Linked DNA regions of Canis lupus familiaris. The protein of the gene in region 1 purifies or fractionates together with the protein of each later gene. This does not show direct contact. Links are inferred from orthologs where the notes say so. Each region holds a gene or a part of one and is shown in the gene's direction. Other genes may lie near its edges. The genes, in order: RALBP1, AP2M1 and REPS2.

Region 1 (9,971 bases):
AATACTTTTATGTGTTTAGATTTATCTAGGCCAAAACCATGATCCATAAACTCATGATACAAATTATTATTTCTAAATAAAAAACCTCAACATTGTCACTAATAACTTTAAAAAGCAAGTGTTATACTTCAAAATTATGACATAAATTTTACCATTTCTCCCCCCCGAGATGATTAAATTAAGCACTGTCTCTGCAGAATATAATAGAAATGGAAATAATTTTACTATATTGGATGGATGCTTGTAAGGTAAATTTTTCATTTGAATCAGCTTTGTAGTTTATTTACTCCTAGACAATCTTTAGGATTAGAGGGAACTGGAGGGAAGATACTAGAATGTAGTTTTTACTCACATATGATTTATGGTTGTTTCAACTAAAAGGTGTCAATTCACACTAACTTACAGATCTTAGAGGTTATAAAATCATTCCTGCAGGAGCCAAGGAGATTCGAGAATTCTTGTCATAGATTGCAAATAAATGGACACAAATTCTTCCCAGTGCTTCCGTGTAGGTGGAGTCTATTTCTCCATCCCTTGAATCTGGAGCATGGCATATGACTTGGCTTGGCCAATGGGACATTAGTAAATGACATGTTTGCATGCTGAGAATACAAGTAACCTTAAGAAGATGAGAGACCATTGCAGAGAGAAGCTTAGCCATCCCAATTGCCCCAGATGAGTCCAACTCCCACCTAATCCACCAACTAACTATAACTGCAAGAGCAGTAGAATAGCTTAAAGCCACTGAGTTGTGGGGTGAATTGTTGTGAAGAGCAAATGTGAACTCTTACAGTTCGGACGCCTATTTTTGTCATGAGCTCTAAATAGTGTATCTTTTATATGATATATAAAACTATAACATTTTATTTAATATTCATTATTTATTAAATATTAAATTATAATCTATTTATTTAACAATATAAAAATAGGACATTTCAACTATGTAACAGTGCCATGACCCAGTGAACTGTTTAGGTGCCAGTCCCAAGGATACAGGCAACAAGCACTGGATTTTTTTACTCTGTTCATCCAAGGGTGGTGTAGTCTTTAGAATATTTAATCCAAGTCTCATATTTTTAAAAAAAGCATTATTGAAGTATAATTCTTGTACCATAAAATTGACCCTTTTAAAGTGTACTATTCATGAAGGATATTCTATTTTCTTGTGATGTTGTTGGTTTTGTTATAAGGGTGATTGTCCTCATAAAATGAATTGAGGAGTGTTCCTTACTCATCTATTTTCTAAAAAGGTATTGATAGATTTGGTATTATTTTTTCCCCTTAAAATATTTGATAGATTTCACCAGTGAAGACATTTGATCTGGCCTTTTCCCTGTGGGAAGATTTATATTTACTAATTCAAGTTTTTTACCCTGATATATGTCTATTTGGATCTTTTCCTTTTCTCTTCAGTTAGTTTTAGTAATTTGTTCTCTCCAGGAAAGCCTCCATTTTCAACTATTTTTAAAATTATCAGAATTATGATGCTCATAATATTCTCTTAGAATACTTTTCATTTTTGTAAGGTCTATAGTATTCTCTCTTCATTTCTCATTTTGGCAATTTAGGTCTCTTTCTTAGTCTAGCCAAAGGTTTATCAATTTGATATCTTCAAAGAGCTGACTTTTGGGTCTTTTTCTCTATTTCCTTATGCTTCAGATTTTTTGATTCCTATTTTTATCCTGTTTCCTGATTTCTACTTAATTTAGGTTTGATTCACTTCTCTTTTGCTACCTTCTTGAGATAGAAGCTTAGATTACGGTCTTTCTTCTAATTTTAAGCACTTAATGCTACTAATTTCCCTCTAAGCACAGTTTTGGCTGCTTCCCTTAAATTTGATATGTTGTATTTTTGTTTCCATTCAGTTCCAGGTATTTTCTAATTTTCCTTGTGATTTCTTCTTTGTCCTATGGATTACTTAAAAATATTAATTTCCAGTTATGTAGGGCGGGGGTTTCTCAAATTTGTTTTTGCTAATTCCATTGTGGAAAGAGAAAATAACTTGTATGTTTTCAGTCCTTTAAAATTTATAGAGATTTGTTCTGTGACTTGCCTTATGATGTATACTGGACAATGTTTCATTTGTCTGAAAAGGATGTATATTCTGCTGTTGGGAGTTTTCTGCATATGTCAAATATTTCAGTATTGGCTGATACTGTAATGAGGGTCTTCTATATCCGCCTTTCTTTTCTCTTGTTTATTGCTGAGAAAGAAATTTGAAGCCTCCAACCACAAGTGAATTGTCAATTTATCATTTCAAGGTCCATATAGCGATTTCACAAAGGGCTCAATAATGTCCAACTCAGGCCAGTGCCTATCCCTCGTCCCCATTAATGGAGCAAGGAGCACTTGTAACTGGCATCGTAAACATGCCCATCTCAGCGGTCAGCCGACACTCTTCTGTCGCCAGAGGGTCAAAAAAGAGCTCCTCAAACTGTCAGAAAACAGACCACGTCGGTATCTAATTCCAGGAGACTCTTCACCTTCAGGCTTAGGGGGATGAACTTCACTGGGTAGAAAACGCAGGGTATGGGCAGCCCGGGTGGCTCAGCGGTTTAGCGCCGCCTTTGGCCCAGGGCATGACCCTGGAGACCCAGGATCGAGTCCCGCGTCGGGCTCCCTGCGTGGAGCCTGCTTCTCCCTCTGCCTCTCTCTCTCTACCTGCGTCTTTCATGAATAAATAAATATTAAAAAAAAAAAAAAAAAGAAAGAAAACGCAGGATACAAGGGAGACTTGTTCTCAGATCTGTTAGCTTATCTGAGAGGTATAGCGCAAGACAGGTTACATAGGTTAATCGACATTATACAATGAATCTCTCGAGAGTATCGCACGTAGGAATGGAAATGATTGGGAAGAGCATTTAACCCAAATCATTCCCCTAATAATGAGCCAACCTTAATCAAACAAGAACACCTCAAAGGACCCGACTTCCAGCCATGCATTAGCAGAATAATTCTTCAAGCCTTGCTTAGGTTTCCCGGGGGGGAATTCAGTCATTTTCAGCCTTCCCTGCAACTCAAGTTATTTCTCTTCGCAACCTAACCACGCGGCTGGGCAGTCCTAATTCAGGTGTTCCCTGCAAACGTCGAGCCAAAGAGGGCGGCGGAAGACGGTCCCGCAGCCCAGCTCGAACCGAAGGCTGGCCCTTGCCAATTCAGGAATTCTCGGCGGGGTCTGCACACACAGTTTCACGCAGATTTCCCCTCGGAGGCCCACGGCCGGAGTCCCCACCCAGCCCAAGGCCGGGAGGATGCCCCACCCAGGGGCAGGCCGGGCCGGCCCCCGAGGCCGGTCTAACTGGTTAGGACGGCCGGAGCCTGCTGGCACAGAAGGGCTGCACTTCGGGAGCTGAGGAGCAGCCGGCCAGAGCGTGCAGAGAAAAGCGCTTCCCTTTCTCCAGACCACCGGAGGCGCTGCCCGCCAACCCGTCCTCGGCGATCTCCGCTCGTGGTAGGTAGGTGCCGCCTCCCACCCAGTCCCCCAAGACCGGGAACTGCGCACGCGCCCGCTGAGCCCTCCGCGGCGCATTCTCTCGCGCGCTCCCTCAGTCTCCTCAGCGAGCCTCTGGGCCGAAGTAGGCGCGGTGCTTCCTGGGTGTTGTAGTGTGGCTCCTCGACGGAGGGCCCTCTTGTAAACTGGGCGCTGGGCGTCCGAGAACTACGCCTCCCAGCGTGCCGCGCGCGAGGGCACAGGGCGTTCGCCCTTGACGGCTTTAGCCGTCAGCGCAGAGAGGAGGACCCAGGAAGCCGGCAGCGGCGGGAGGAGGGAGTGCGCTTGCGCGGTGGGCCGGCTCGTCGCGTTCTGTCCCAATCATTGTAAACAGGCGGAGGCTGGGGCGGGGTGGGAATGGGGCGCCCGAGGCCGGCTAGGGGCGCAGCGCAGGAGGCGCCTACGGTGGCTGCGGCGGCACGGTGAGCGCGAGGCGGCGGCGGCGGCGGCGGCGGCGGCGGGGCGGGCGGTCGCGCGGCGGCAGGCGCAGGTTGGTGGCGGGCAGCGGCGGCGCGCAGGGGTCGTGGCGGGCCCCGCGCCCCGGGGGAGCCTCTCCTGCGCGCCCCGCCGCGGCGTCTGTCAGGCGGCGCGCGGGGCTGGCGGTGGGGGTGGGGGGCGTGGCTGCCCGAGTGCGGGCTCTTCCCCGGCAGGCTGCTCCCCGGGGGTCGCCCGGCTGCCGGCCGTTCCTCCCACTTGCCGGCCGGGCCTCCCTCGTGGCGTCGGCATTTGGGATTCGGTGCTCTCGGGGTCCGGAGGGGGGAGTCGGGAGCCGGCCGCTCCCCGCGGAGTCCCCAGGCCTCGGCAGCGCCGGGACGGGGGACTCCGCCTTTTATATAATCACTCTTTCCTCATCGCCCCCGGAATATTGAGCGGCCCCAGGACCGGCCCGGTGCACCGGGACAAGGCTCCCGGGGTTTCCCTCCGCTGGCACGAAGCACCGGGGCTCCTTTGGGTGCTGCGCTCTCGCGTTCAGGTTTCCCTGCGGATGGACGGACAGATCTGGAGTTGAGAATTCCTTTTACAACTCAATTTCAAGTATGCTTGTGCCAAAACGCTCTTATTGAGGACACTTTTTTTTTTTTTTTTTTAAATCGTTGTAGGAATGGAACAGGTTTTTCAAAATACTCCACACCTCAGTCTTAACCTGAAGTAATTAAACGCTGTTTTGAGTTTTGGGGTTCATTCCTTCAGGGCCTCCCTCTTGGCCAAGCAGCTTGTTTCCTCTAAGGCCTGGTTGAGTCTTTGAAAGTAGTTAGAATGTTAACTCGAGGTAGTGTGCGTGTGCCTTGTAAGAGAGGCACAGTCGTCTGGACGGGGAGTTCACACATCATCCAGCCTCACCAGAAGAGCTCTCACTGAATACTTTGGAGTGGAGTGGGCATGCTCGCTTGCTGCAGCACTTTCCGTAGCCTTCCATCATTCTTGGCGGTTACTCATCAAGTATTTAAGTGGTGGTAAGGAGCACGCTGACTTTTGGGTTGGTGATCATGGAGGCAGCCCTGCTAACGCAAGCAAATGGGACTGTGAATAAGAAAAGTAACCTCCCTTGACGCCTTTCCGGTTGTCTTGGTGATTTGCTAGTTCCTTTCTGAGTGTCTTTCTGAAAATGAGTAATTGCTGTAAACGGTACTGGCAGTAGGAGAGGTAGGAAGGAAGTTAAAGTGGTTCCCACTTTTCAGAGTGACCCATAGATTTACGTGGGTGGACTAGTTTAATAGTAACTAACAACCGAGAAGTAATTCTTTGAACAAAGTGTCTCGAAGCAATGTGACATACTTGGCTCTTTTTCAAAATAGTATCTCTCATTTTAGATCTTATTTGGAAAACTAGAAGTAGTATCAGAGAATCAATACCAACTTTAATTTGCACCCTTATATTTGCACAGCTGTTTGCTTGGCAAGGGGAGATGGGGCTTGAAGGTATTCAAAAGTATGTTCTTTTTTTTTTTTGTTGTTGTTTCTTTTAAGATTTTATTCATTTATTCATGAGAAACTCAGAGAGGGAGAGAGAGGCAGAGACACAGGCAGAGGGAGAAGCAGGCTCCATGCAGGGAGCCCGACGTGGGACTCGATCCCCCGTCCCCAGGATCACAACCTGGGCGGAAGGCGGCGCTAAACTGCTGAGCCACCCGGGCTGCCCTGTTCTTTCTTTTTTTTTTGAAAGAAAATTCCTGATAGAAACTTTAGTATATGTGGAAGGAATAAAGAAGAACGCGGATCGTTTAGAGGAATTACTGTGTTAGCAGGTACTATGGCAGGTGAGGAGGACTTACAGATGGATAAGGCTGTGCCCCTGCTTTCTGGGTGATAAGACTTTATCTCTTACTTGAACTGTTAGCAAGTACAATATGTTTTTAAGATTACTTAGAGAAAGTATGGGGGTATAGAGGTGTACAAAGGAGATAGTGATCAGTTTCCTAAGGGAAGAGAGAGATGGAGGAAGGTGGCAGTGGTAAGGAGAAAGTGTGTACAGGAGGGGATGCAAACAGTAAGAAAGGACATTTAGGTAGAAGGAACAGTGTGAGCAGAAGCATGGGAGTCTCCGCTTCCATAGTGAGTTGTAGGATCTGCAGGTATAGCTAGTGGGCAGGGGCCAAATTATGGATGGTCTTATACACGGTTGAAGTAATTTCAACTTTTGTCTTACAAGCAAATAGAAGTCACTGAGACAGGATAGGGAAAACAGAGGCCTAAGCCAGCTCAGCCCATTTTAACTCCCTCCTATGTGTCTAGTGTTACATTAGGTACTTTATGCTTTATGTCCTTAAACTTGAAGGTTTAGGCATGACTGAGGCAGAAAATGAGGAACTTAAGGCAGAAGGAAAGCTGAATGTGATTAGAGAGCGTGGAACACTTCGGAGAGCTGGAAGCCATTGTCTGCAACTATAGCATTGGATTTATGGTGGTGAGTTGCACAAGAGGAGGCTGCACAGATAGATCCTTGAGTATTGCATGACATTCTAAGGATTCTAGAATTTTTTCCCCTAGAATATAGATAATAGAGTTTATGGATTTTAATCAGGAAAGAGTCATAAAATATTCATCTTAGATCATTCTGGTATTGTAGAGTGCAGATTTCAGAAGGGATGGAGGGAAGATACGGCAGGGTGCAGAAAGACTGGTTAGGAGTTTTTGTACTAATTGAGGTGACAAAAAAAAAAATAATTGAGGTGGCAAGTAAGGTCCTCAGTTAAACCAAGGCAGAGTCAGTGGAGATGCGAAACAGTAGATTAATAGCACAAACGTTTAGAAGGTAGAATTCAGAGGATTCAGTTACAGTTGGATTTTAACTTGGATCATTGAATAGACAGTGGTAAACTGCAGTTGACCCTTGAACAGTGTGAGTGTTAGGGACACCAGCCCTCCCCTTGCAGACCTCCCCCTTGCAGTCTAAAATCCGCATATTACTTTTGACTCCCCCAAAACTTAACTACTAATAGCCTATTGTTGACTGGAAGCCCTACTGATAACTTAAGGTCAATTAACACATATTTTTATATATTATGTATTGTATACTATATTTTTACAATAAAGATAAAGAAAATGTTACTGAAATCATAGGGAAGAAAAAATACATTTATAATGCTGTATATATGTGTGTGTGTGTGTGTGTATATATATATATACATATATATATATATATACACACATATATATATATATATATATATAAACAACCAAACACATTTGAGTAGACCCACACAGCTCAAACCCTTGTTGTTCAAGGGTCAACTGTACTGACACAGGGACTTCAGGAAGGGGAGCCAACTGGGGGGAGGAACAGTATTTCAGCTTTTGGATATGTTGAGGAGTTGTCTATGAAACATCCAGGTGAAGCATCAGCTATAGAGTTGGGTGTGTGGGTTTGGAGTCGAAGAGAGAGGTCTTGCTCTGAGGGTCAGCAGGCTATATTATAGGTGGTAGCTGAAATCTTTGATTTCTGTAATACCATGTAGGAAGAGCTTACCAGTGGAGTGTAGTTCTGGAAATAGACAATGGAGAATAACATTTAAAGCCAGATAGAGGAAGAAGACTTGGAAAGGGAAATTCCTAAGTATTTAGAGATGCAAGGAAGTCATGAGAAAATGTCATATAAGCCAAAATGTAATCATTTCAAAGGGAAGCTATGCTTCACTACTAACTCTCCAGAAAAAAGAAAAAAAATTTAAAATAGGAAGCTGTACTTCAAATGCTTTGAGAACTTGAGTAAAACAAGGATTATTAGGAGTCTGTTGAATTTGATAACTAAGAGCAGTTTTGTAACCTTCTACTTAATGCTACCATTTGGGGAAGGGGCTAGTTTCTTTGAATTGGGAAGTTAATGGGAGATCAGAGAGTGAAGAAAGTAAATGTGGATTATTTCAAGAATAAACAAATCTTAGCTGTGACAGGAAGACTGGAAAGAGGTGTTAGCAGATGGTAAAAAGGTTTAAGAGAGTGATTTTTAACATGGCAAAGACTTGAACCTGCTTTTTTCTTATGACAGTTTTATTGAAATGTAATTCATATAAAATTCATCCTTTTAAAGTGTACAATTCAGTAGTTTTTAGTATATTTGCAGAATTATGCAGCCATTTCCACAGTCAACTCTAGAACGTTTTAATTACCTCAAAAAAGAAACCTTTTACTCATTATCAACCACTCACCATTTCCTCTGCTCCCACCCATTAGCAACCACTGATCTGCTGCTGTCTCTGGATTTGCCTGTTCTGGACATTTTATATAAATGGAATCACATATGTGATTATTTGTGACTGGCTTCCTTTTCTCAGTATAATGTTTTCAAGGTTTATCCGTATTGTAGCATATATCAGGACTTCATTTCTTTTTATTGCCAACTAGTTTTCTATTCCTGAGTTATACCATGTTTTGTTTATCCGTTGATCAGCTGGTGACTGTTTGAGTTGTTTCTCCTTTACAGCTATAGTGAATAATACTGGTACTGATACTCATGTGCATGTTTTTATGTGGATGTATGTTGCTCCTAGGTGTATACCTAGGAATAGAATTGCTAGATCATATGGCTACTCTTATGTTTAACGTTTTGAGGAACTATCAAAGTGTTTCCCAAAGCAGCTGCACCATTTCATTTATGCAGTGTAAGGATTCTGATATCTCTACAACTTTACCAACACTTGTTATTTTCTGGCTTTTAAAATTTTAGCTGTCCTAGCTTGTGTGAATTGGTATCTCATTGTGGGTTTGATTTGATGATGTTGGCCATGTTTTCGTGTGCATATTGGCCATTTGTCTATTTTCTTTGGAAAAATATCTATTCAGTTTCTTTGCCCATTTTACAGTTGGGTTGTTTGTCTTTTTGTTGTTGAGTTGTAAGTGTTCCTTTATATATTCTGGATGCTAGAACCTTTTCAGAATATGATGTGCCGATATTTTCTTCCATTCTTTAGGTTGTCTTTTTACTCTCTTGATAATACCCTCTGTTATACAAAATTTTAAAATTTTGATGAAATACAGTTTATCCATTTGCTTCTTTTGTTACTCATGATTTTAGTGTCATATCTAAGAATCCATTGTCAAATCCAAGGTTGTGAACATTTACACTATACTTCTTCTAAAATTTTTTTGGTTTTAGTTTTTATATTTAGTCATTGATTCATTTTGAGTGAATTTTTGTGTATGGTCTGAAGTATGGGTCATTTTCTTGCATATGGAAATCCAGTTGTTTTATCCCCATCTGTTGAAGAGATTATTTGAAGAATAAACAAATCTTAGCTGTGATGACTGGATATTCTTTTTGCACTGAATAGTCTTGACACCTTTATTGATAATCAGTTGACCATAGATGTTTGGGTTTACTTCTGGGCTCTCAAGTTGATTCCATAGGTCTGTATGTTTATACTAATGTCAGTTCCACATTGTTTTGATTACTCTAGTTTTTTTGTGCCTTTTGAAATCAGGAAATGTGAGTCTTCCAGGTCTGTTCTTTTTCATTTTTTGTTTGTGGTTATTTAGGGCCCATTGCAATTCCATATTAAACTGAGGATCAAAAAACAAAACAAAACAAAACCAAAACAACAAAACTGAGGATCATCTTTTCCCCACAAACAAATTTTTTTAAAAAATTTCATTTTTGGAATGTTTGTTGCTGGTGTGTGGATATGTACTTTATTTTCTATCTTCATCTTTTTTTTTTTTAAAGATTTTATTTATTCATGAGACATACACACACACACACACACAGAGGCAGAGACACAGGCAGAGGGAGAAACAGGCTCCATGCAAGGACCCCGACGTGGGACCCGATCCCGGGTCTCCAGGATCATACCCTGCAGCACTAAATCACTGCGCCACTGGGGCTGCCCTATCTTCATCTTTTATCCTGTAACTTTGTTAAACTCGTTTACTAGTTCCAATAATTTTCTAGCATATGCTTCTTGTTTTCTGTGTAAGATCATGTGATTGGTGAATGAACAGAGACAATTTTAATTCTTTACCAATGTGAATGCCTTTTATTAATTGAT
Region 2 (9,778 bases), on another chromosome or scaffold:
GTGGCTCCAACCGTAGCGGCAGTGACCGGCGGAAGGAGAAGGACCCGAAGGCGGGGGACTCGAAGTCGGGCGGCAGCGGCAGCGAGTCGGACCACACAACCCGCAGCAGCCTGCGGGGGCCTCGGGAAAGGGCACCCAGCGAGCGCTCGGGTCCTGCCGCCAGCGAGCATAGCCACCGCAGCCACCACTCAATGGCCAGCAGCCTGCGCAGCCACCACACGCACCCGAGCTACGGCCCCCCTGGCGTACCCCCTCTCTACGGTCCCCCAATGCTGATGATGCCCCCACCGCCCGCGGCCATGGGGCCCCCAGGAGCCCCACCGGGCCGCGACCTGGCCTCCGTGCCCCCTGAACTGACCGCCAGCAGACAGTCCTTCCGCATGGCCATGGGAAACCCCAGTGAGTTCTTTGTGGATGTGATGTGAACAGGACCCCTCCCCTACTTCCGTCCCACCCCTACACCTGGGCGGCTGCGTCCCTCTCTCCATCCGTCCATCTTTTTTACTTTGTCTGGTACCTGAAAGGGAAATAAATTGAACTAAATTCAGGCGCGCTAACTGCTCGCTGGGCGCAGTGAGGGCGGGGTGCACCCACCAATTGCCGCTGCGGCCCCTAACCTGCCACCGGACCCAGCTTGTCCCTCTACCCACTAACCGCTGCGCAGGACTCCCAGGACCCTTCATGTCACTGGGACCCGACTTGCTGGTGCTGCTCCTTATTCCCCACATACACTTCAAGAATTGACCCCCGCAGACCCCCTGAGGGCCTGTTCACCCCTTTATCCCCACGTTTCTCCCCTCAGGAACCTCGCACCTTTCCTTCCAGCTACATCCACCCTTCATTAACCGCATCGCCTCCAGCATGTGTGCCAATCTCTTAACTTTTTCCCTGCACTACTGACAACAAAAAATACTTGCTTCATCCACCCCCCCTCTAACTGCCCAACCCACCCTACTCCACCCCAGCCACTGCTTCAGTGCTGCATCCTAGAGCTGTGGTCACTTCCAGTAACCATCCACACTATCCCAGCCTGTGCTAGCCTTTACTAGAAGCCCAGAAAGGCCTCCTAAGTTGCCTGAGCTGCTAGCAGCTTCCAGGAAGCATAACTGTTCTACCCCTATATCCATACTCCCCCATGCCTGCTGTATGTGCTGGTTCCATCAGACCCCTAACCCTACTAACCAGGCTCATCTCACCTCTGGGCCTGAAACATTTCTTTTCTTTCTTTTCTCTTCCCTCAATTTTTCCTGGGCCTGGAGCAGCCAAGAATTTCGGGCTGTTTGACTTTCTGTGAGCCCCCAGCAAAGGGAGGCCCAGCCTCCGAGGAGACCAGAAGCCCTGCTTCAGCAGCCCCTCAGGGCTTCCCAAGGATGTTCAGCTCCCACACCTACACTTCAACATGTTGAGTCACTAGGCTTTTGTGGAGGGCTCCAAACTCTCACCCATGTATGAGAGACTCTGTTCCCCTTTCCCGAGAGTGCCCCATCTCTCTCTCTCTCTCTCTCTCTCTCTCTCTCTCTCTCTCTCTTTCTCTCTTTCTCTCACACACACACATACACACATGTGCCTACGCAAGTTCACTTAAGCCTCAGGGCTGGTCCCTACCCAGAGGGCCGGACCCTCTCTCCCAGGTCGTAGGGCTGGTCCCGACTTCCCTGTCCCCTCCCTTATAGCCCTCAAGCCTCCCACACATGTCCCCATCATCCTCCTACCTGGATAAAGCTCATAAGCTGGATCTCAGGTTAGGCTCTGCAAAGGACTTCCCAAGCAACTGACAGGTTGTTCTCACCCTGCCCCTTACCCCACACAACCTTCTGTGATTTCACAATCACTATGATACCCCAGAGAAAGGTTGGGTAGGGGGACTTTTGGGAATCCTGAATGCTAGGTTTTATTTTTTACCTTATTCTCCAGTTTAAGCAAATCATGACTTTCTCTTTAAGCCTCTTCTATAAATTCTCCTGGCTGACTGAGGCATCTATATTTTTAGGACTGGGGTGTCAAGAGTAGGATTCAGTCTTAAGCTCCAGGCTCTGGGGCAAACCAGGGTAGAGATATTTTGGCATTTATTCATTTAACAAGTACTTCCTGGGGTATTTGGTGACCAAGGGCTGTGTTGGAGGCATGACTCAGTCTTGCTTACGTTCTAGGAGCTCTAGATTTGCTCCCAACCAAGGCCATGGCTTTCTCCCACCACTACAGGACTGGTTCCTATACTTTTCCTTTTCTGATTCTGCCTTGTTCAACTCCCTTGAGAATTCCTCCACTATTGCTCATGCCTTCTATGTTGGTGCTCCCAGTGTTCCATCTTTGGTTCACTTCTCTTTCCTCTAAGTTTACTACCCAAATGGTGTCATCTATCCTGATGTCCTCAATTGCCACTGATACACTGGTGATTCTAAAATGCCTATCTCCAGCCACAACTTCTCTCCAAATTTTAGATCTGTGTTATCCACTGGACGTCACCATGGACATATCTATATGGACTCAACTCATTTCCCCCATCAAGTGTGTTCCTCCTTAATTCCAACTCTGATGATCTTTAGCACAGTCTACATAGGCATACCAGCTAGGAACATTTATGGACTTAAATTCTTCCCCAACTCTTACTAGTCAGCATATCATATCCATTCCACTTCAACAGTCTTTCTTGAATATGGTCCTTCTTCTCCCCCCGCCTCTACCCTAATTCATAGGAGCACGGGATTTGGAGTCAGGTTGTTCTGGGCTTGAATCCCAGCTCTACTACTTTTTGGTTTCGTGATAAGAGAGTTACTTAATCTCTCTGAGCCTCAATTCCCTCATATGTAAAATGATGATAATAATACCTACCTCACAGGGTTGTTGTGAGGATTTAAATTAGACTTGTACGAAAAGTGCCTAGCACAGTGCCTGGCACAGAGTAGAATAGGTGCTCAATAAATGGTAGCTATTATTATTACTACTACTACTATTATTATTTATTCTAAATTGGTAGGGTATTATTGATTGAAGATAAAGCTTTTGGAAAGGTAGCAGTGAAGATCTGAGTGCCGGTTCAAGATTTAGAAATGCCTGTATTCAGTCACTTAATGGATTCACATGGTGACCACTGTTTGAGGAAGGCCAGATCTTCATCCTGCCACATTCTGGCTTCTAGCAGGAGGATGCTGGGACAGTAGGGTTTGTAACCAGGTTTGCCCTTTTTTGCCCTTCCTCCCATGATGGGCTCAGCACCAGTGAAGGCATAAGGGAAGCTCTCCGTACAGAAAGAGAAGAGCTAACATTTTCTTCGGGTCCTGTAAAAGTCAAGCAGGGCTTTCATATCTGAGGGTTTGCTCTGTCTTTTCTTCTCAGCTTGGGTGTGAAGATTAACTCTGTTCATTAGAGAAGGGATTTCAAGTTCCATGTCCAGCTAAACTTGCCAGCAGTTTTTTAAGCAACATATATGCCATCACTAGAAGGCACACAGGTCCTGGCCTCAAGGGGTCACATAGGTATGTGTAGTTGGGATAGAACAGACATTCTTGAAAAGCTTTGGCTAGTTTCTTACAAGTATTTGCCTCCTCCATCTTTGCCCTTTTACTTGGGTCTTGATCCCTGGGAAGAGGCTCACATCTGGAACAAATATTTGATGAAAAGTCTTGGGAAAATCAGAGCTGGTGTTAGAAAGCAGTAAATTTAGTGCAAACACTTCTGCCAAGTCGTGTGTGTGTGTGTGTAAAGTGAGCACAGCCAGTGTTCGGACTCCAGAGACGGAAAAGGCCTACAGCAATCTCAAGCTTAACAGATGGGCTTCAACAAATGGCATTAATCCTCCGAAGCTCTCCTAGACGCTGAACAGGATGGATTGCAGACTACAATTCCCAGAATGCTCGGTAGGGAAAATGAAGCGAGTGGAGCGGAGTATGATGGGATGTGGCCACGCCTATCCCTCCCCAAGGCACGCCTAACCCGCTGAAGGCAGTCGGTAGTTGTAGTCTTCCTAAACCTAGAAAGGCTAAAATTGTAAGCTAGAAGGCCGAAGGGCCTGACGGGATTTGTAGTCGGCTCGGTCGCCGGACGCGCACGCGCAACTGTGTTCGGGGCGGGGCCACGGCACTGCGGTGAAAGCCGAGGCAGCGGGCTGGCGAGCAGGGGGCGGGCGGACATCTTGGGATCTGGAGAGTGGCCGGGCGGGCCGAGCAGGCGGCCGCGGACGCCAGGTAAGCTCGGAATCCGGCGGAGAGTAAGGGAGAACGCGTACCCCGCTACCCAGCTTTGCCCTTCCCTGCACTGCGCTGCGCGAAAAGCTGCCCACAGCCGGGAGGGGCCTCAGCCTTCTGATCTGGAGCTGACGGCGGGGCGGGGGCGCCCGGGGCGCGGTTGCAGGGTGGGCAGGGAGCGGCGCCCTCCACCGGCAGTCCGGCGCCTTCCGTGACAGGGAGACCTCCTGGGGTCCCCCCGGAGCCAGGATGCCGCGCGGCGCCCCCTTCCTCGGGATCGTGACAGCCCCCCTGGTGCCTTGGCGCCGCCTCCTCCCAGCGCAAGGACAATTCCCCCATCTCCTCGACGGTGACACCCCCTCGGGCCGTCTCCCTGGGCTGTGACAGGCCTCCCACCAGCCGCACCCCCTCCCCCCAGTTGAGTGACACCCCTCGGCTCTTCTTCCTCAGACCTGTGACAGCCCCCGCAGCCCCGTGGAGCCATGTTCATCCCCGCGATGTCTTGCTCCCCTAGACGAAGAGCCCACCCCCCGTCATGCCTCCACACTTGAACCCTAAAGCAAGTTAACGCCGCCCCAGCTTTCCCCTATTCGCCACTTGTCAGTCTCCTCCCTGCTGTTTCAAAGTCTTGACCTTTGCCACACTGGAAACTCCTTCCTCCAGATGTCCCCGTCCCCCCCCCCGCCCCCCAGCCCCCAGCCCCAGCCCTCTTGCTGCTGCAGGTTCACCTGACTAGACCGCCTGGCTCCTTCTGCCCGTCCTTCCCCTTAGCTCAGTATTCCCCTCCTGCCCTGGGCCCCACCTCCGCTCCTTCGGTGCCCTGCGGCCCCTACCACTTGATATCTGTGAACTTGCTTCTTTGCCCGGGGCTCTACCTCCCATTTTTCATTTCCTTTCCCAGCCTTTTTTGGGACTCTGGGGTGGAATGTGTCCACCACCACCTTGAGAGACCTCTCACTGAGTTGGGGAGACCCTGATGGCCTCAGTAATAGGGCTTTATTTTCCAGTTTAGAAAAGTCTGCTAAACTCCCTCTGCCCTGTAAAATCAATACCAGAGCTAATTCAGGAAATCTAGAATTAAATTAACCCTTTTTCTCCTTGCAAATATTTTGACCCAAATAATTTGGATAATGCACACCTATTCTCTGCCCCTTCCTTATAGGTACTCAGGCCAGAAATGAGTTATGTCATGGTTCTGGAATCATAGAATGTCAGCTGGATTGATCTTTGTGTTTTATAAACCTGTACTCCCACCCCCTTATTTTTACTGCACTTGGGAACTGAGAGGGATCCTCCCTTTTTGAAAGGGAGGTGGTTAAAAATAACTAATAAGCAGCTTGGGTCATTGAAGTGTAGTCGGCCAAGGCTGGGCCCTTTCTCCTCTGCTCTTTTGCCTGCTTATCTGACTGCCTGGGATTGGTTGGAGCCACACTCCAGGGTCTGTGTCAGGGCCTAAGGCCTCCCTTGTCTCCTCCCCACACCCTGCACACCCTTTCCTGGAATGTTTAGACTTCTGTGAATTAGAGAGCCACAGGTTCAGGCCCTGCTGTCTTCTCCGAAGGGTTAGTGGAGCCTGAGAGACCGGGTGCTCCTAAAGCCGTGCCTGGGGGCCCCAGGCCTGAACCAAGTGGAATAATTCCTACCGCCATTCCTGCAGCCGCAGGCAGGCCTTCCCAGTGACTCACCGGCTAGAGTCTGAGTGAGAGTCTGCACAGGAAGGGGCCAAAAAGGATCTGTGCTGAGCTCAGCACTGAAAAGAGGGGGAGGGGGCTACACTCTGGGCTCAGCCCCAGGAAAGGGAGGGTCAAAATGGCCTTAGAATCCTGGGCCCAAGTCCCTCTCCATTTCTTTCTCCTTTCCAGTGTGAGATAAACAGGAACTGGAGCCTGGCTAAGGGGAGGGGCATGCCTGGGGAGGGCTTCAGGGTCACTTACTGGAGGGTTGAGTCAGGAAAAAAAGCCCAGCCAGTGACCTGCACAGCCCCACAGGGGATGTTGGCAGAGGTTCTGAGGCCTTCCCTTACCCTGCCTCCGCCTGTCCTAGGTCTGTTCTCAGAGCGATGGGCCTTGGAGACTGAGCTGCCGCCATGATTGGAGGCTTATTCATCTATAATCACAAGGGGGAGGTGCTCATCTCCCGGGTCTACCGAGATGACATCGGGTGAGTCCCCTGGCTGAGCCAGCTGTGTCCCCACCCCTCATCCCTCCTCCCCAGCATGCAGGACCAGGTCCGTTCCTACCAGAGACTGGACTTTGGCCACCCCCATCCCTCGCTGCATCTTAGAAGCTCAGCTAATACAATCTGGTTCCCATTAGGTCTGGTGGTATTGGCCTGGCAGCCAGTTATTGGCCAATAGGTGGGACCTGTGGAATGGTGTGGCCCCCCACAGTCTTAGGAACTCTTGTCCTTCCTGCCTTCTCCTTTCCTTAGTGACAGACCTAGTTGCTAGAAATGAGTGCTTTTGCCCTGGTAGATGAATTCCTCCCTTGAGGAGGAGGGAGATCTTTCTCCAGGGGGTGAAGTTAGTGGACAGGCTAGTGGTACTAGTCCATCTAAGTCTTGCTCTCAAAAGCCCTTCTCACGGTGAGAGCCTTCACTGAATTCTCTTGAAAGCTTCTCCAGGCTGCCAAATCCTCTCCTACTCCCTTTCTCAGGAGGAGGCAGGCTGCTGACTCAGCTGTTTTCAGTTCCTCTGGGCCACTCCTAGAAGAGAGGTTGTGAGCAAGCTTGGGGCACTCTCCGGGTCACTGAAGGAAGGGCAGGGAGGCCATGCTGCCCTTCCTGGCCTACCAGAGTAGACCCGGAATAGCTCCTTGTTCTAGGTCCCTCAGACCTTAGCAAAGAGACACAGCCTGCCTTCTCACTCTGCCCCACACTGCATGCCACTATTCTTTCCTGAATGAGAGGACATGTCCTAGCCTCAGCAGCTCTAATGAGATTAGGCATCTCTGGTTCATGCTGCCCTGTTTTTCTTCCTCCAAGAGCTTAGGTTAAAGAGTTATAGGATGGGCCTGCTGCAGAGCCCAATAGCTTCTTGGCTCCCAGCTCCCTGGCTAGTGGGCTGGCCTGGCCTTTGTGGCTGTTTGTCCATTGGCTGGTGGTAGGGCATGAACTAGAGTTGTGGCAGTGCCTGGCTTGCCTGAACCTGGCTGGCTATACCCATCCACACCCCCTCCTGCCTGCCCTGGATGGACCTGCTTAAGCCAGGGCACCTACTGTCTTGCATGACTTGCTATGCTTTCCACCCCTTGCCTCTTGCTCGTCTGCTTCCACTTCATGGTGTGTGCAGCCTACCCCAGGATGTTGTGTGTCTAATCCTCTCTCTCGTTGCTGTCACTCTCCTCTTCTTGCTGGCGTCATTTCTCTCATCCCATCTCATTGGCTGCCGTAGCAATAGGTAAGCAGCCTGTCAAGCTGCCGCCCAGGCACAGGTGGGTGGGGGGCCCTGCCCCCCATCATTGTTTTCTTTGTCTGTTTTCATTCCCTGAACTTGTCCTGGAATTGGATCCTGGACGGGAACAAATGGCCCAGCTCCATGGCCCCTTGGTGCTTCTTCCTTAGATTAGATTAGAGCCTACTCTGAAGTTATGCTGGCTTTGCCTCACTTCTAGAAGAGCCAGACCTCCCACTGGTGGGATCACAAGTGGGAGAACTGAAGAACAAGCAAGTTGTCTTTGTCATTTGGGCCTCGAGCTTACTGAGAAGCTGGAGAGGTGGCAGCTGGGAAATTGGGACCTCAGCAGGCCTCAGGCCTCAGCATCAGGAACATGCCTCCTTAAGTGTGATGGACTTCACTTTATTAACACTATACCTGTTCTCCTGTCATTCCCACCTGACTTACCTGTCTCTGGTGGCCTTCAGACACCAGCCCAGCTCTGGTCCTATTCCCATGCTGGGAGCCACAAGGGAACTGCCCCAGTAGTTTAGGCTTTGGCTTCAGATTCATAGTACGTGTCAGACTTAAGCAGTGAAGGGATGAAAAGTTGTTAGCAGCTGTGGTTGATCCCCATGGAGTGGGGTTTGCCTGGGTGCTGAGCAGCCCCTGTGTACTCTTTTCCCTTAGGAGGAATGCAGTGGATGCCTTTCGAGTCAATGTTATCCACGCCCGGCAGCAGGTGCGCAGCCCCGTCACCAACATCGCTCGCACCAGTTTCTTCCATGTTAAGCGGTCCAACATCTGGTTGGCAGCTGTCACCAAGCAAAATGTCAATGCTGCCATGGTCTTCGAATTCCTCTATAAGATGTGTGATGTAATGGCTGCCTACTTTGGCAAGATCAGCGAGGAGAACATCAAGAACAATTTTGTGCTCATATATGAGCTACTGGATGGTGAGGCTGGCAGGGCGGTGGGCCTAGGGTGGGGATGAACCTGATGGGGCCTAGCCTGGAGGTAGGAGCACTTGTGAGGTTCCCTCCAGTGCCCTCTCAACTTTCTTTCCTGAATATCTGCTCTTTTGAGCCCTGAAAAGGCCAGTCTAAATTCAGCCCCAAAAGAAGCTCTGAAGTAGAAGAAATAGTGAGTGGAGGTGGGGAGAGGGGGCAGAGAACCAAAAGATTTTTCAGGGGGCTAGGAACCTATCTGGGGCTTGGTAGCTGGACCTCCTACAGTTAAGCATGTTTCCTTCTTACCTTTGTAGTTTGGGCCTTAGTTCACTGACTGTCCTTCCAGCTTTCTATCTCAACAGGCTCTGCCTCAGAGCCTGAAGGAGGTTGAGATATGACCGGCTTCTGGGGTTGCATTATCTTTGTTCCTTTGTAGGGTATGATTGAAAGGAACAGAGTCTTTCTACCTTCCCAGGGTCTGTTTGTTTTCTAAGGACTCAGAGCTTCTTGATCTCTCACCCACTGGCCATAAGATTCTTCTGCTCATTTTCTCTGTGAAAAATATCTGATGTTTTAATTGTTGTCTTATGAAGCACAAATCTCAAAGTAAATGCTACAAAGCTAGAGGACATTGCTGCAGATGATCCCACACTCTTCTAGAGCTCTGCTGGCCAGATTTGTCCAGGCCAAGGGAGATATTGGACTGAAGGAGCCTTCAGCTTTTTCCAGGGCTGATAGTTCCCTTCCTTTTGCAGAGATCCTGGACTTTGGCTATCCACAGAATTCAGAGACAGGAGCACTGAAAACCTTCATCACTCAGCAGGGTATCAAGAGCCAGGTACTCCCTTGTATAGCCACAGCAAGGGTTGGGCCCATCCTCCTCAAGCTCCCCCTAGCCTTGTCTCCGCTCACTCAAGAGCCCGCCTCTACCAGGAAGCACAGGCCTGAGCCCTCTACTGTGATTGCAGGCCAATTTTGCTGCATGTGGCCCTCCACCCTAGGAGCAGCCGACTCAGCATCTCTGTTACTGGGAATAGGGTTCAAACAGTTTCCTTCTGTACTGGGGGAAGGAAGGGTGTGGGCTGCCCTGGAGGCCTGGTGTTCCTCGGGGAGAGAGCGTGGGCCTTCCTCTAGGATACAGGCCTTATAGCTGCCCTCTCCTTCTCTTCTGCCTGCCTCTTCCCGTCTGTGTCCCCCTACTGCTTCCGGTTGGCATCACATTGGCCCTTTGGCCTCCAGCATCAGGTAAGCTGTTCCCTCAGCTTCTACCT
Region 3 (10,032 bases), on another chromosome or scaffold:
AGGTGCCCTTCTTATGATTTTCTTAAAAACACTTTTCTCTAGCTTAGTTCATTGTAAGAATATAGTATGTAATATATACACAAAATATATGTTAATCAACTGTGTTTGCTATCGGGTAACGCTTCTGGTCAACAGGAGGCTATTAGTTAAGTTCCTAGAGAGTCAAAAGTTATATGTGTATTTTCTTTTTTTTTTTAAGATTTTATTTATTTATTCATAGAGACAGAGAGAGGCAGAGACACAGGCAGAGGAGAAGCAGGCATCATACAGAGAGAGCCTGATGTGGGACTCGATCCAGGGTCTCCAGGATCAGGCCCTGGGCCGCAGGCGGCGCTAAACCGCTGCGCCACCAGGGCTGCCCTATATGTGTATTTTCAACTGCACAGTGTTCAGTGCCCCTAATCCCTGCCTTGTTTCAAGGTCAACTATATTATCATTGTGGCCTTTTGCTATGATGGAGCCCAAACAAGTGTGTAAATTTAGAATTGTAAAAAGTAAAAAGAAATTCTCTTCTAAAACGTTCTTGTTTGGGGCACCTGGGTGGCTCAGTGGTTGAGCATCTGCCTTTGGCTCAGGTTGTGATCCCAGGGTCCTGGGATCAATTCCCATATCAGGCTCCCTGTAGGGAGCCTGTTTCTCCCTCTGCTTATGTCTCTGCCTCTCTTTCTGTGTCTCTCATGAATAAATAAATAAAATCTTTAAAAAAATTCTTGTTTACCGTCAGCCTTAAGGGATATGAGTGTTTCTAGTTTTTACATTCGTATCTGTGTTAACTCTAAAGTGTGATCACTATTGCTTTTACTCAAAAAACTACTGAAATAAAGAACAGTACTTGGCATTCCTTAGATATTAAAACATTTAAAAAATGCCATTTTCCCCTCCTGCATCCTGGGTTTAAATGTAACTCTTGTTGGGTCACTTCTGTCTCTTGTCTTCCATTTGAGCACCTTCCCTCTGGGATCCTAGAGCCCCAGAGAGGCTGTCCCTCTCCCCCCACCTCTACCCGCCATCTCCCTCCCTCCCATGCCAGTCTGCTGTCTCACACTCACCACTGTCTTGGCGCCTCAACCCTGGGGCTCCTCCCTCTTCTGTGAGCCTCCCTCTCTTGTCCTTCCTTTTACCTCCCCCAGTCCCTCCGATTTGTCAATAATCCATCTGGGTGCCTTCTTCATTAAGCCTTCCTGGCTGGGCTCTGGCTCCTGGATTTTCTCTCTTCTCTAAACTCCCACAGCGCTTAGCCTGGGGTACACGATTTAGCACTTAATTATACATTGTCTTTTATTGTTTGTTTTTCTTTGTTGTGTTAGTTTTGTCTTTTCCAGTGAAGCTGCAGACTCCTTGAAAGGAACACGTCTTGTATTTTTTTTTAATCCCTCACAGTACCCCCGTAGGGACACAGTTAATACTTCCTGTTCTACCAATAAGTGCTGCTTGATGGATAGGCACAGATGTAAGGCTTTCTATGCATTTCAGCAGGATCTGCAGTGCTGATGAGTATCTGTCAAATTTATTAAACTGAGTTGAATAATGAAGAGCAGCTTCGAATCTAGTATTCAGTTGGGTAAATCACACCATTTCTGCATCCATTTTCTCATCTGCAAAATGAAGATGAAAATGTTTTCCCAATCTACCTCAGAGAGTTACTGTGAGTCTTAAATGAGATAATGTAGCTTTGAACTGTATGAATATTAGGGATTATTATATCTCACATTTCTTTTTCCAGGTGTCACAGGGGAAAGTAGGTTTTGGCTTTTATCACAAAGGGTGAGTCCCTTTCTAACCTCTGTTAGAATAGTGGGTGATAAAAAAAAAAGAATAGTGGGTGATTCTCAGGGAATCCCAAGGATGTAACTAAAAAGGTAGGAAGGGCGTAAACATGATCTCTTGGCTTCCAGTTTTCCTTAGAAATTATCACAGTTTGGAAAATACAGGAGGTGGTGAGATTTTAAAATGGTAATTCCCCAGCTAAGATAGTCTTTGCTGTTCCTTACTTACCTATCCTCTCTGTATTCTTGTCCACAAGCTTAATTCTCTCCTGGTAGCTGTAAAGCAAAATGTGGTATAAGGAAATCTTAGTGAAGAGATGAGAACTTCCTGCTTTTAGAGTGGATCTTCTTCTCTATTTCATGTCCTTAGATTCCAAAAGGGAAATCTTACTCTGGTCACCATTTATGGATTGACATAATTTTTCTTCTTCTTCTTCTTCTTCTTTTTTTTTTTTTTGTTAAAAAACCCCCTGTTTTACTTAAGTAAACTTTATTTCCAAAGTGGGGCTTGAACTCATGATCCTAAGATCAAGAGTCATATGCTCCACCTAATCAACCTGCCAGGCACTCTAATCATTTTTGTTATCTATTTCTTATGTATTTCTTCCCCCTTCACCATTTGTTGATTTTTTTTCTCAGTCTTGTCCTTCCTCCTTATTTTAGTTTGACCAACATACCAAAGTATATTTGTTATCATCAGTGCTATTTCTTGAGATAGTGTTTGTTTTTAGTTAAAGTAAAATTATTTTGGGGTGAAAGGTTTATATATGTCTGTTTATTAAATTTGAAATTGTATTTTTTATTAGTGCTTAATTCTGGACTCATTTTTTCTTTGTGATATATATATGATATATATGATATATATGTGATATATATGATATATATATATATATATATGCAATTCTTCTTCCCAGGGCCCCTTTTCACTCTTATCACTCTAGTATTTAACACTAACTGACGGTATTCCTTTTTAAGGCACAACTCCAGGTATGAGCCATACCTGAGAAAGTAGCCTAACCTCATCTCCACCATGAATGCTAAGCGGAGTCACTGCGAGCAGTTCTTCTGGAGATCTCTGTCCTCCAGCTTTTCAGGACAGAAGCGCACTATGCAAAAAGGGAAGCTTAATTTCTCCTGTCTCCCCCCTCTTCTGCGAAGGGCGCCGCACCTGCTCCAGTTCTAGGGAAAAACCACCACAGCTTTCTCCGCCCCCTGAAAAGCGCCATGCTCCAGGTGGGTCTAGTCGTCTCCCTTCCCAGCCAGGGCGGAGAGCCGGAGGCGCCCCTGCGGGGCTCCGGGGGTGCGTCAGGCGCTGGCCCCCGGCCTCCCGGTCCGGGCAGCGCGGGCGGGGCGGGCGGCCGGCGGAGTTAGTTACCTGGCGCGGCGCGGGGCGGGGCGAGGCGGGGCGGGGCGGACGGCGGGGGCGGGGCCGGGGCACGATCCCAGGCTGCGATTGGTTCGCCCCGCGCCTGTCTCCATGTGCCGCGCGGCGGAGGCACAACATTCAAGTCTGGGGGCGGGGCCGGCGCGCGCCGGGAGGAAGCGGCGGCGCGGCAGCTGCGGGGCGTGGGGGCGGTGGCGGCGGCCGAGGCCGAGACCCAGGCGTCGGAGGCTGAGGCGGAGGCAGCTGTTCCCTACCCGGTGGCGGTGCTTCGCCGGACCCCCTTCCCGGCCCCATGGAGGCAGCGGCGGGCGGGGGCTGCGGCTCCGGGCCGCCGCTGCTGCTGAGCGAGGGCGAGCAGCAGTGCTACTCCGAGCTGTTCGCGCGCTGCGCCGGCGCCGCAGGCGGGGGCCCCGGGTCCGGGCCCCCTGAGGCCGCCAGGACCGTCCCCGGCACCGTCACCGCAGCCGCGGGCCCCGTGGCCGACCTGTTCCGGGCGTCGCAGCTGCCCGCCGAGACGTTGCACCAGGTATGTCCCCGCGCCCTCAGCCGGCGCCTGTCTGTGGGGACCATTTCTGTGGAGATCAGGGGGCGAGGTGGGCCGATAGGGCTGCTCAAGGACCTGGAGGCCTCGGCCAGGTCGAAGTCGGGGATGGCGGCGACGCCCTTGTCCCCCAGGGAGCACCAGCCTCCTCCGCAGCTCTGGAGGGTGCGCTCCCCGTCTTCCTCCCCTGAGACAGACTGACGCTCCCTCCCCTCCCCCGGCCATTGCTGGGGCTCTGCAGCCGCCCAGACCCAAAGTTTGCCTTGTTCTGGAAGTGCTGTTTGTTTTGGCTGGTGTCTGGTTTAACCTCTGCTCGCTGCTCCTGCCTTTCCCTCCCTTGGGTGGGTGGAAGGGGGTAGGTGCTCAGGGTGCCTTGCTGGAACTTGAACTTCCAAGTGTGTGTTTAGGTAAGTGTGTGTGTGTATACAGCGGGGCCCAGAACTCAATGTTGTCCGCCCCATGTACGTATTAATATATATATATATATCTACTATATGTATTTGCTCACTAATGTACTTCTGAATATTGATATTAAACTGGAAAGCCTTAACACGTTGCAGAGCAGGGACAAAGGGCTGTAAGAGGATGTCAGTCAAGGCAAAGCCAAGCTTACTGTTTAGGGCCAGAGATAGACCCCAGAGGTCCAGCATAGGAGACAGCTGTAGTTTCCCATCTTATTGCATGCACTTGAAACAGAACTGGAAAGTAATGTGTGTCACAGCTACCTCCTTTTAGCTGCTCCATACCTGGAAGAGGAGGAGGGGATGATCCACAGCACATGCTGTTTTTGTTTTGTGCTTTCCTTGGAGCTCGGAGAAAGACTATTTGATAACCATCGTCTTTTGATGTCACCAGGCTTTCATGTTGATAAGATTCTTTTTTTTTTTTTAAGATTTTATTTACTCATGAGAGACACAGAGACAGCGGCAGAGACACAGGCAGAGGGAGAAGCAGGCTCCATGCAGGGAGCCCAATCATGCCCTGGGCTGAAGGCAGGTGCTCAACTGCTGACCTACCCAGGCGTCCCATGTTGATAAGATTCTTAAAATCAGGCCCAAAACATGAAATGAAGCTTTTTTCAATTATTTTTTAAGTTTTAATTTTGATTCCAGTTAACATACAGTGTCATATTAGTTCTAGGTGTACTATATAGTAATTCAGTACTTCATACATCATCCTGTGCTCATCAGGACAAGCGCACTCTTTAATCCCCATCGCCTGTTTCACCCATCCCCCCAACTCCTCCCCTCTGGTAACCATCAGATTGTTCTCTATAGTTAATAGTATCTTTCTTGATTTGTCTCTTACTCATTTGTTTGTTTCTTAAATTCCACATATGAGTGAGATCATATAGTACTTGTCTTTCTCTGACTTATTTTGCTAAGCGTTGTACTCTAGTTCCATCCATGTCATTGCATATGGCAAGATTTCATTCTTTTTGATGCCTGAATAATATTTCATTGTGCGAAAAAAAATTTCGTTGTGTGTGTGTGTATAAACATATACATATATAAACATATACACACATCTTTATCATTCATCAATTGATGGACATGGACACTTAGGCTGCTTCCATATCATGGCTGTTGTAAGAATGCTGCTATAAAATATAAACACAGGGGTGCATGGAAATGAAGCTTTTCTTGAAAGCAGTAGTATAAAAGTTAACATCAATTGAATATTTGGAGTGGGAAGTGGTATTTTAAAATCTAGTTTCAGAGGATTAGTGAGGATTTTATGGCTCAGTTACAATGTCACTGTGTTTGTAGGTCGTTTTTCTTACCATTTAAGACTGCTTTATGCTGCTGGAGCATGCATATGCCTATATGTCTGTGAGCATAACTTTAGCCACTCTGTAATCTTTCACCTTTTATCTTATTTTTTAAAAAGATTTAATTTATTTATTCATGAAAGAGACACAGAAAGAGAGGCAGAGACACAGGCAGAGGGAGAAGCAGGCTCCATACAGGGAGCCCGATGTGGGACTTGATCCTGGAACTCCAGGATCTCGCCCTGAGCCAAAGGCAGGCACTAAACCGCTGAGCCACCCAGGGATCCCCTCTTTCACCTTTTAGAAAGGATTTCTGAAAATGTAATTAGTATTCACAGAACTTAGCATGGCTGTTTAGCCCTTAAGTAGTCCTTTTTTTTTTTTTAAAGAAGTCTTTTCTATGTAGAAAGTTCTGCAATTGCTGTTTGTGGTTGAGCTGAACTAGGTAGACACAAAAAGTCAGTGTCTTGGGACGCCTGGGTGGCTCAGCAGTAGAGCGTCCGCCTTTGGCTCAGAGCGTGATCCCAGGATCTGGAATCGAGTCCTGCATCCGGCTGCTTTCGGGGAGCCTGCTTCTCCTTCTGCCTGTGTTTCTGTCTGTTTGTCTCTCTCATGAATAAATAAATAAAATCTTAAAAAAAAAGTGAGTGTATTAAAACACAAACCATGGCCATTACTTGAGGCCCTCAGAATATTCCCAACCATATAAATTTATTAAATGCTCTTGCAACTTTTCAACTGAAAAAGGAATGAGTGACTGAGGCCACACAGCAAGTAAATGACAGCTGGGCACCTGCCAAGACCTATTTTGTAGTCAGTAATACATGTACTGTGATAAGAGAAAGCGGACATGCTAAATGTGAATGTGTTGGTTCCCCACTCCTAAGGAATTGGGGAGGGGACTTTCCTGGTGTTAGAAAAAATACACGCTCCTTTGAAGTATATATGATTTAGAAAGAACCCAAGGCACAGTGCATTTGCATGAATGATGTTATACTCTTGATGTCCAGTTGAAACCTGCTTGCAGAAGACTGCTTCAGATGTTGGCAAAGGGGGACATGCCTAGAAGATTGCTTGTAGTAAATCTCTCAGAGCTTTAAGCTCTGTTATTCAGTCCAGCAAAATAAAATACATCCTTCCCAATTAACCTAATATAATTGCAATAGTCCAGTATTCTTCATGCAGGTAAAAATGAACATCAAAGGCATCCTGGACAGGGAAATGTAATCAGAAGAGATTCAAGCAAAGGTAGCACTCAGCAGTCACCTGTTTTACCAACCATTTTGGTGATGTGTGGTATGGTGTGGTGTGGTGTGTTGTATCTTGATGTGTATGTGCATGCTCCATTTACCTCAATTTGCATTTCCCCATGAGTGTATTAGCCATTCTTTAAAACAAATGTAGAGGGATCCCTGGGTGGCGCAGCGGTTTAGCGCCTGCCTTTGGCCCAGGGCGCGATCCTGGAGACCCAGGATCAAATCCCACGTCAGGCTCCCGGTGCATGGAGCCTGCTTCTCCCTCTGCCTGTGTCTCTGCCTCTCTCTCTCTCACTGTGTGCCTATCATAAATAAATAAAAATTAAAAAAAAAAAAAAAAAAAAAAAAAAAAAATAAAACAAATGTAGACATTTTTAGCCTTTCCCTGTTAAACATGAACCTGTAAGTTCAGAATTAAGTGGCCCAACAGGTATAACTGCTCAAATCATGGAGGCACTAACCATCCCTGGTAATTTCTATGGTAACAGCCAGATTTTTTATCTTAATAAGCATATAATTAAGATTACCATGATGTTTCAGGCAGAGTGAAAATCTTACCTGGAGTAAATGTTTTACAAAAATACTTAATTTTGTCTCCTCCTTGCAGTAAAAATATACCTGTTACTTTGTCATGAAAGTTATGTTAAGAATTTCTTTCTGTTGACTCCTAACTCTGGGAAATGAACTAGGGGTGGTGGAAGGGAAGGTGGGCAGGGGGTGGGGGTGACTGGGTGGCGGGCACTGAGGTGGGCACTTGACAGGATGACCACTGGGTGTTATTCTGTATGTTGACAAATTGAACACCAATAAAAAATAAATTAAAAAAAGAATTTTTCTGTTGAAATATTATATATAAATTTTATTTTTTTCAGAGCAGTTTTATATTTGTAGCAAAGTAATGGGGAAAGTACAAAAATTCCCATACATACCCTACCAGCACACATGTACAGCCTCCATCATTATCAACATCCCTCACCAGACTGGTACATTTGTTGACATTGACATATCATTATTGCTCAAAGTCTATAGTTTGCATTAGGACTTGCTCTTGGTGTTGTACGTTCTTATGTTTTTTTAAAAAATATATATTTATTAAGACAATTTTTTAGAGCAGTTTTAGGTTCAGAGCAAAATTGAAGGAGAGGTGCATAGTGTTCCCATAATGCCTCCTGATCACACACATACACAGTCTCTCCCATTAGGAAAACTTCCCTCCAGAGTGGTACATTTTTTACAATTGATAAACCTACATTGACATATCATAATTACCCAGAGTCCATAGTTTACATTAGGGTTCACTCTTGGTGTTGAGCATTGTATGAGTTTGGACAAATGTATAATAACATGTATTTACCATTAAAATATCATACAGAATAGTTTCACTGCCCCTAAAAATGCTCTCTGCTCCGCACAGTCATCCCTTCCTCTTACCCCCAACCCCCAACCCCAGGCAACCACTGATCTTTTTACTGTCTTTATATTTTTGCACTTTTAAAGAATGTCATATAGTTAGAAAAACACAGTATGTAATCGTTTCAGTTGGCCTCTTTCATTAATAATATGCACTTGAGATTCCTCCATGTCTTTTCATAGCTTAATGGCTTATTTCTTTTTAGTGCTGAATAATACTACATTGTCTGGACGGACCAAAGTTTATCCATTCATGAACTAGAGGACGTCTTGGTTGCTTTCAAGTTTTGGCAGTTATGGCTCAAGTTGGCATAAATACCTGTGTGCAGGTTTTTGTGTGGACTTAAGTTTTCAACTCCTTTGTGTAAATACCTAGTAGTATGATTGCTGGATCATATGGTAAGAGTATCTTTAGTTTTATAGGAAACTGCCAAACTGTCTTCCAAAGTGGCTGTGCCATTTTGCAATCCCCTCAGCCATGCATGAGAGTTCATGTTGCTCCATATTCTCAGCAGTATTTAACAATACCAGTGTTTTTGATTTTGACCAAAGGAATGTAGTGATATCTCATTGTTGTTCCTATTTGCAATTCCCTAATGACATGATGTTGAGCATCATGTCATATACTTATTTGCCATCTTTTTTTTTTAAGATTTTATTTATTTATGAGAGACACACAGAGAGAGAGAGAGAGGCAGAGACATAGGCAGAGGGAGAAGCAGGCTCCATGCAGGGAGCCCATGTGGGACTCAATCCCGGGTCTCCAGGATCACGCCCTGGGCTGAAGGTGGTGTATTTGCCCTCTTGAATTATATTTTAATGCATCATAATAGCCTATTTTATTTATTTATTTTTAAAAAGATTTTTATTTATTCAAGATAGACATAGAAAGAGAGGCAGAGACACAGGCAGAGGGAGAAGCAGGCTCCATGCCAGGAGCCTCACTCAGGACTCGATCCCAGGACTCCAGGACTGCACCCTGGGCCAAAGGCAGGCGCTAAACCGCTGAGCCACCCAGGGATCCCCATAATAGCCTATTTTAAAAAGATCTTTGGTCCTATTTTTGGAGTATTTATCTTCATGTGCTGATTTATTTAAAAGCCAAATTTCAGTACTAGGTGAAAAATGGTAGGACGATATCCTTTTAAATTACAAAAATTTGGGCAGCCTGGATGGCTCAGTGGTTTAGTGCTGCCTTCGGCCCTGGGCCTGATCCAGGAGACACGGGATCGAGTCCCACGTCAGGCTCCCTGCATGGAGCCTGCTTTTCCCTCTGCCTGTGTCTCTGCCTCTCTCTCTCTCTCTCATGAATAAGTAAATAAAATATATTAAAAAAATAAATTAGAAAAAGTTAATATGAATGTCTGAGAAACGGTTTTTAAGACAACGATCTACAAATGTTAGAGCGATTGGTTTCCCAGGTTGTGAAGTATTTCATTGGTATTCAAAGACCAGCATTTTACTAGATGGCATAGGGTGGTGTGGTGGGAATCAGGTTTGGGTTTGACATGTATTTGAGTTTCTGTTACTCATAATGCACAGTTCTAGGTACTGAGATTACATCAATGGATCAAACACAAATCCCTGTCCTCATGGAGTTTACATTCCAATGCAAATGTTTTTTATTCTTCAGTTTGTTTGAGTTTATTCAGTTTCAAATATAGCCTTTAGAGCATCTGGCTGGCTCAGTTGGGTAGAGCACACAACTCTTGATCTAGGGGTTGTGAGTTCAAGCCCCATGATGGGCATAGAGCTTACTTAAAAAATAAAGAAGGAATATAACCTCTAGAAATAAAGTGTCTATCTTGAACTAGCAAGTTTTATATTTGCTGTAATGAATTAAACTATGTAGACTTATTGATAATATTCATCTTTTAGGATGGTATGTTAGTCTCTGGGAATGC

Evidence for each region.
Region 2: the proteins of RALBP1 (region 1) and AP2M1 purify together in Homo sapiens (affinity purification with mass spectrometry; 3 studies listed by BioGRID and IntAct, counting the BioPlex papers as one, with this or other methods). This does not show direct contact. The link is inferred for Canis lupus familiaris from reciprocal best matches to the Homo sapiens genes RALBP1 and AP2M1.
Region 3: the proteins of RALBP1 (region 1) and REPS2 purify together in Homo sapiens (affinity purification with mass spectrometry; 3 studies listed by BioGRID and IntAct, counting the BioPlex papers as one, with this or other methods). This does not show direct contact. The link is inferred for Canis lupus familiaris from reciprocal best matches to the Homo sapiens genes RALBP1 and REPS2.

What each region holds. Positions count from the first base shown.
Region 1 is NC_049228.1:75,538,560-75,548,530, forward strand, and holds the start of RALBP1 (ralA-binding protein 1), read left to right. Parts: upstream 1-3,317; 5' UTR 3,318-3,455; intron 3,456-3,768; exon of another isoform or gene 3,769-3,912; intron 3,913-3,945; exon of another isoform or gene 3,946-3,980; intron 3,981-9,971. UniProt on the Homo sapiens protein: Multifunctional protein that functions as a downstream effector of RALA and RALB. As a GTPase-activating protein/GAP can inactivate CDC42 and RAC1 by stimulating their GTPase activity.
Region 2 is NC_049255.1:17,238,770-17,248,547, forward strand, and holds the start of AP2M1 (AP-2 complex subunit mu), read left to right. Parts: upstream 1-4,065; 5' UTR 4,066-4,184; intron 4,185-6,227; 5' UTR 6,228-6,270; coding exon 6,271-6,344; intron 6,345-8,247; coding exon 8,248-8,513; intron 8,514-9,262; coding exon 9,263-9,345; intron 9,346-9,746; coding exon 9,747-9,752; intron 9,753-9,778. Other genes in the region: DVL3 (segment polarity protein dishevelled homolog DVL-3), read left to right, coding at 1-399, 1,263-1,294.
Region 3 is NC_049260.1:13,171,752-13,181,783, forward strand, and holds the start of REPS2 (ralBP1-associated Eps domain-containing protein 2), read left to right. Parts: upstream 1-3,372; 5' UTR 3,373-3,442; coding exon 3,443-3,676; intron 3,677-10,032. UniProt on the Homo sapiens protein: Involved in ligand-dependent receptor mediated endocytosis of the EGF and insulin receptors as part of the Ral signaling pathway. By controlling growth factor receptors endocytosis may regulate cell survival.